Linked DNA regions of Yarrowia lipolytica. The protein of the gene in region 1 interacts with the protein of each later gene in a biochemical or structural test. Links are inferred from orthologs where the notes say so. Each region holds a gene or a part of one and is shown in the gene's direction. Other genes may lie near its edges.

The links.
Region 2: the proteins of YALI1_C30130g (region 1) and YALI1_A08502g are reported together in a solved structure, tested with the Saccharomyces cerevisiae proteins (2 studies listed by BioGRID, with this or other methods). The link is inferred for Yarrowia lipolytica from reciprocal best matches to the Saccharomyces cerevisiae genes SAR1 and SEC12.

What each region holds. Positions count from the first base shown.
Region 1 is NC_090772.1:3,011,525-3,014,748, forward strand, and holds YALI1_C30130g (uncharacterized protein), read left to right. Parts: upstream 1-1,540; coding exon 1,541-1,559; intron 1,560-2,031; coding exon 2,032-2,585; downstream 2,586-3,224. Other genes in the region: YALI1_C30119g (uncharacterized protein), read right to left, coding at 1-472. UniProt on the Saccharomyces cerevisiae protein: Small GTPase component of the coat protein complex II (COPII) which promotes the formation of transport vesicles from the endoplasmic reticulum (ER).
Region 2 is NC_090770.1:848,700-852,480, reverse strand, and holds YALI1_A08502g (uncharacterized protein), read left to right. Parts: upstream 1-1,979; coding exon 1,980-2,099; intron 2,100-2,262; coding exon 2,263-3,231; downstream 3,232-3,781. Other genes in the region: YALI1_A08512g (uncharacterized protein), read right to left, coding at 344-1,276; YALI1_A08486g (uncharacterized protein), read right to left, coding at 3,444-3,781.

The sequences.
Region 1 (3,224 bases):
GCTCATAGCTGTAGTTGAGGGTCTGCTCGAGCTGGTAGGTGTTAGCGTTCCACACCTTGACGGTATTGTCCTCGGCACCAGAGATGATGACGGGCAGATCGGGATGGAAGACAGCGAAGGACACGTTGTTAGTGTGGCCCTCCATGGTGGCGACGCAGGCCTTGGTCTGGTAGTCCCACACCTTGACGGTCTTATCGTCCGAAGATGTGATGAGGTAGGGCTTGTCAGCACCGGGATAGTATTCGACGAAGTTGACGCCGGCGGTGGCATGGGCCTCGAGGGTGAAGTTGGGCCGCGACACGGTGGAGGCGCCCGACAGAGACCACACCTTGACGGTTCGATCCAGACATGCGGAGGCAAATGTGTTTGTGTCCTTGGGGTTGAAGGCCACGTACATGATGTAGTGGCTGTGGCCCAGGTACTGTCGCTCCATGGTCCAGTTTGTGTCCCAGTTCCACAGCCGGATGGACATGTCGTCGCCGGCGGTCAGCACGTAGGGCAGGGTGGGATGAACGGTGATGACACGGATGTAGTCGGGGTGGGCCTCAAACTGGGCCTCCTTGGCTCCAGTGTTGTAGTTGAAGACTCGCACAATAAAGTCGTCGGAGCCAACAATGATCCAGTTTTTTCGGGCAATGAACCGACCGGCTCGAAGAGGAACATCTGCCACCTCGATGCTCTTGACCACCGTCTGTGTCTCGTAGTTCCAGATCTGGGCCACTCCCGAGTACAGAGTGGTGAGTAACCATGGCTCAGTGGGGTGGAAATCGATTCCCTTGACTCGGTCAGAACGAGTCTGCGAGTGTCGCTGTGTTAGTCGTCGTCATGGCCGCGTGAATCGCTCAATTACTCACCTTGATTTCGAGCTTCATGGTGTAGTGCTACGCAGAGTGCAATAGAGAGTTTCATACGTGTACTTGTAGTGTTCGGTAGGGTAAGTAGGAGGAGTGATGGCGCTGGGAAATGCTCTGCTCAAAGAAACATCTCCGGGGGACACAATATTGTATAATAGAGATGATAAATGGACAATAGGAAGCTTGCTCTGAATGTTCCAGTTCTCTCTCAAGATAAATACTTCCAAGTCCCACAACTTTTGGCACCAATTACGTCTACACACACACCTGATGTACAGTGTACTCGTGCTCGCCTATTGATCTCACACCACAATATGTACACGTAATGTCCCAACACCCCCAAAGGACCACGGTTTTTACCTTGGTGCTGCACGATTTTGGCTTCCGTTTTACGTGTCAGCCAAAATTCATATCGGTAGGAGATTGCACAATGACGGGAGATTGTAGAGGATAAGCGTGGAGATAAAAAGGAAGAGAATTGTATGTGAGGAAAAACGGACAGTATATATACTCTTTTGCAGCACCTTCTATTGCTCCCAAACACCTCCTATACCAGTACCAAAGCGTCAGCCCCACCCTGGACTCAGTCGGATGCACGTGAAGCCGCCGGCTTAACCTTTTTGCTACATTCCACCTCACTCACCAACTTATCATCACACGTTGTCCTACTTCTTCAACTACTAATCATGTGGATTGTCAACTGGTGTGAGTATGGATGGAATACAGGGGCACTGATTGGTCGCTTGTGTTTGTGTACTTGTTACACAGACGCGGAGGCTAGCGGAAAAAAAGAAATCAGATCAAGTGGCGATACACGATACACGACAAGCTCTACAGCGACACGGGGGCTTCGTGACTTGAAATCCCGGAGGTGAAAACACAGTTAACAGAGACTGGCGACTTAGGGCTGTTCCAGAGACTCAAAAACAGGTACCGATGCCGTTTTTTGCCCCTGTTGCATTCATCAAGTTGCGGTTTGATGCCGTTCAGGGTTGCTCAACCCCCTGAAGATACACGGTTGCTCTGCTGTTATACCCTAAACAGTCATACGGTGGTATTCAACACAAGCAAACTCTCTGTGCCGTTATTGTACTGCTTAAACAGCAAGTCTGCTATCGTATCGCCGCTCAATTTCGCTTCACTCGCTTTTTGATTTGCCCCCCTTTTGCTAACCTAGTCTACGACGTTCTGTCCTCTCTCGGACTATGGAACAAGAACGCCAAGCTGCTCTTCCTCGGTCTCGATAACGCCGGAAAGACCACCCTGCTGCACATGCTCAAGAACGACCGAATGGCCGTCTCTAACCCCACCGTGCACCCCACCTCCGAGGAGTTGTCCATCGGCAACTGTAAATTCACAACCTTTGATCTCGGTGGACATATCCAGGCCCGACGAGTGTGGAAGGACTACTTTCCCGAGGTCAACGGCATTGTTTTCCTCGTCGATGCCGCCGACCCTACTCGATTCGCCGAGTCCAAGGCCGAGCTCGACTCTCTGCTTGCCATTGAGCAGCTCAAGACTGTGCCCTTCTTGATTCTTGGAAACAAGATCGACATGCCCCAGGCCGTTTCCGAGCTCGAGCTCAAGGACGCCCTTGGACTGTACCAGACCACCGGTAAGGGCAAGGTGCCTCTTGAAGGCAACATCCGACCCATCGAGATTTTCATGTGCTCCATTGTCATGCGGCAGGGCTACGGAGACGGTATTCGATGGCTGTCTCAGTATGTTTAGAGGGAATAAATTATTGTATTCTGATTGTGATGAGCAAAGCCGTGATTCCACATGGACCTGCGAACGGCTACATACTTGTTCCTACGTAGTTTGGGTATTTCAAGTACAAGCATCGGGTTGGGCCATCTACATCTGTAGTCGCCCTGCCATCCTTTCAACCACTGGTACCTTCAATGGTTTAGTTCACATAGTACCAATCGATGAGTCAGTCATTTGTATGATACAATCAGTCGTCGTCGAAAAGTGCTATTCTGTTATCACGGCTAACACACTTCAAGATGTCTCACAGATACGAATGAACAAGGTCTCACATGAGCTGAGACCATAGCTAAGAGTATTTGCACTTGTATGTCTAGAACCATCATTCGTCTGTCCTGAGCTGTCATTTGCCAGTCTTGTGTCTGTCTTGAACTGTCTAGTGTGTGTCTTGAACTGTACATTCGTTCATGAGAGCTGTGTGGGGGTCACAGACAGGGATCTCTGGAAGTTGTGTGGTAGATCATTTCATTAATAGTGAGACAGAAGAAGAAATTATAATCATGGGGTCTCTCCAAAGGAGCTCACATTAGAAGCATTACAGTATGGACATACGTACAGTATCCAAGTATCACTTTTCAAGCTCTCACATCTACCCACTTT
Region 2 (3,781 bases), on another chromosome or scaffold:
AAGACTCTCTTTTGCGTGCTGTGGAGAGGCGCCCTATAGGTAAGACCAAAGGGGGTAGTGTAATCAGAGAAGCCGACGGGGTTTCTGCTGCAAACAATGGTTTGAAATGGCTGGCGTGCAGATCCAAGGACCGTAGTCAGACTGTCGTCAGTTGTACCTGCGTGTATCTGGCTCGTGACAATCAATAGAGATGGTGGAGTTTCCAGTGAATGGGTGTCCTCAAAGTTGGCGAAGCAATATAAAAGTCAACAGAGATCACTCTCGTCAGCTTGTCTGTACCCTTTCGTGTCGATACACTCGTCGGGACTACTAATAATACATCTATTGTAGCATCTATATGGGGTTAAATGGTCTGGGCCTTGTAAGGGACGGTGGCATCACCGAAAATATCCTTGCACTCGATGATTCGCAGCTCACACTGCTTCATGCTCTCGGCGTTGCCAATCTCGCCTCTCTTTATACCCGACTTTCGAGCGCTTTCATCGGTTATCTTGAGAATCTGCTGAACCACTCCCAGCACTTCTCCCACAGCCACAGACAGTGGGTCAGGAACTGGCTTGAGAGTGTGATAGGTGTAGAATCTGTCGGAAAGCAGAGCTGCAAATATATCGCCAGTGCCGGTGAAGTATGAGTTGATCTTGTTGAACTCGTAAATGTATGTTGAGGTCGATCCATCTTTGTCCAGCGTAGATCCTGCCGAGTAGAGGATATTGTCGTTATCGGAAAAGGACAGAGACGAAATGGCCACGTAAGGTGTCTTATAGGTAGTATGGAAGGCTGTCAGCGCCTGCTTGAGCGTTTCTCGGTCTGTGATCTTGATTCCTGTGAGCAGTTCTGCTTCAAACTGGTTGGGGGTCACCAACGTCACCTTGCCACTCTTCAGAATATCCTGATACACAGGAATGGTCTTTTCCGACACGTACATTCGTCCGGCGTCGCCCAGAACCGGATCCAGCAGCCAGATCAACGAAGGGTTGTTGGTTTTGAGATCTTCTCCCACCTTTCCCACTGCCTCCACTCCTTCCTCTCCAGGAACGTAGCCGGTCAGCAGAAACTCATACGACAGCCCTGCAAGTTTGAGGCCTTCGTAGACGTCGAGAATCTCCTGAGCAGACGCCTTGGTGCCCTTGACCGTGCCGTATCCCGTGTTGTTTGAAAAATGCACCGTGTTGAGAGCATCCACCTCCCAGCCCAAGCACTGGAGAGGGAAGGTAGCTGCCTTGTTGCCCACGTAGCCATGGACTACGTGGGACTGGATCGCAAGCAGGTGTTTCATTGGTGTCTGTGTTGTGTAAAAGTGGGATGGGGAGATCAGTCTACAAGTAGGCGCTTATCGGGAGAGATACACTCTCCTTCATGCCGAACTTTGTCTGCCTGGGAGAAGATGAGGTAAGTAGTAGGGGTTGGTTTAGTGGAAGTGGAGATAAACTCTCTAAGTGAATGTTTAAGAAGTAAACAAAATGTTCAACAAATTATACATTTGTCAAGTAATCCCACAATGGATGATGCAATGTGCTTCTCTCGCGGTAGTTTCTACAGTTTGCACGAAACAAAAACTACATGAGCTCGTAGATAAAAGAAACTGTTAATGATGAGCTATGAAAAAATGCCCCAGTTGACCAGATGGACATCAACTTCAGCAAACTAATTATTCTGTGCGATCTTACAATTATTTCACATCCAACGCCTCGCTTATGCAAACGACATAATTGGGTGTTTCGATGAAAGGACTCAACATTGGCTCATTCAGAAGGTGAGAATTTTACAGGGACGGGATTTGGCGGGTTATATATATTTCAACAATCACCCGAATTAATGCGAATAAATCTGAATTTTTTTTTCCGCTTTTTTTTCTATTTTATTCCGACTTCTACCTCTCTCTCCATTAAAGAACTTCATGCATGAGCTAAATTAATCAACGCGCGCAACACGTACTCGTAGCTCCGAACATCACCAGCAGCAAACCACCCATACACACAATGTCACTGAGAGGATTGGAGCTCGACTATCCACTATTTGTGGCCGAATTTCTCGACAAGGATCACGTGATCGTCGGCGGAGGCGGCGGAGAGGGAAACCACGGCATCCCCAACAAGCTGGTGAGTATCAGTGGTTGAACCGTGGTGGCAGGCATGCTTCTGGCGGGTTGGAAACAGACACAAACAAAGTGGACAAACTTTGCTCAATGTGGCATTCTGTGCCGTAACCAATTCATGTGATTCATGTGATTGGTCACTGGTTACGTGGAACACACTAACTCAGAGCATCGTCAAGATCAAGGGACCCGACATGCCCAAGAAGATCTCCGAGATTGAGCTGTCGAAAAAAGAAGACAATCCCACGAGCTTAGCAATTTTCGACAAGAACACCATTTACGCCGGTGTAAACAGCAACAGTGAAACTCTCAAGAGCGGCAAGAACCAGCATCTGCGACTCTTCTCGCTCTCGGACGACAAGGAGAAATGGAGCGAAACCAAGTCCTCACAAGTCTTTGAAGACGTTGGCATTCTCGACTACCAGAAGGGGGCGCTGGCTGTGCCCAAGCACAAGTCTGTGATTCTCAGCAACTCCACGGCTCCTGGATACATCTACTCCATTGATGTCAAGGATCACGCAGTCAACTTCCAGGAGAAGACCGAGAGTGAGATCAACGGCATGTCTCTGTCTCTGGACGAGTCCAAGTTTGTCTACGTGACGGACAAGACTCTTGTTGTAGCCAACTCGGCCGACGGAAAGCACATTTTCAACTCGGAGTCTATCAAGGGCGAGACCTTCTCCCGGGCTGCCTTCCTCAAGTCCTCGGCGGTGGTTGCTGCTATTGCTGTGGGAGCCAAGGATGGTATCAAGCTGGTCAAGATGCACGGAGACAAGTTCGAAGAGGTGTCATTCAGCTCGTACAAGAACCTCAAGAAGGTGACTGCTCTGGCCTGCCACGACAAGTACATCTTCACTGCTCACCAGGACCTCAGTCTATCCATTTTCTCCGCCGACAACCTGCGTCTGCTCAAACAGTACAAAGAGGCCCATGAGTTTGCCATCACCCGAGTTGCTCTTAACGAGGATGAGACCATGGCTGTCTCTGTGTCTGCTTCCAACACTCTCGGAGTCATTGATATCCCTGCCGATGGCAACTTTGGAGGCAACAAGCTGTTTGACATTATCATTCTGACCATTCTCATCCTGTTTGTGGCCATTGCTTACCAGAAGATTGTTGGAACCCGTCAGTGGTAGTGTTGCAGATCTAGTATAAGTAAGAATTGTATTTATGTGATTGACCAGCCCAGACTATTACGATTACTACTGCTCCAGTTCAATAAGCACTTGTACAGCTCTGAAAACAGTTTCTTTCTATTTTGTTCATTAGTTATGTATCACCTGCCCGTTAATATCAAAGCTGTAGTCAAATGTAGCTAAAGGGATCATGTTATGACATGCCCCAGTCCTCACCTCACACGAAGGAGAAGACGGTGCTCCGTGTACTGGCCCCAAGAGTCGTCAAACTCCTTCCAGTTATCATCGAACCTCCACTTGTCTGCTCCCTCCCACACTTCGTCGAACCAGACGAGAAAGTCGCGGGTCTTGGACATGACAGTGTCCTGGGTCTGATGAACTCGCACGTTCCGGATTACAGCAATTCCAAAGTCCTGGGTCTGAACCTGCATCTTGAGCTGGTTTTGGGCAATCGCTTTTCTCATTGACGTGTGTTTAGCGAAGCCAGACATGGTTCTGGTGGCTCGCTTTGCTGTGCCTTGAAACACTGGATGTGTTGAAGGATATCTGT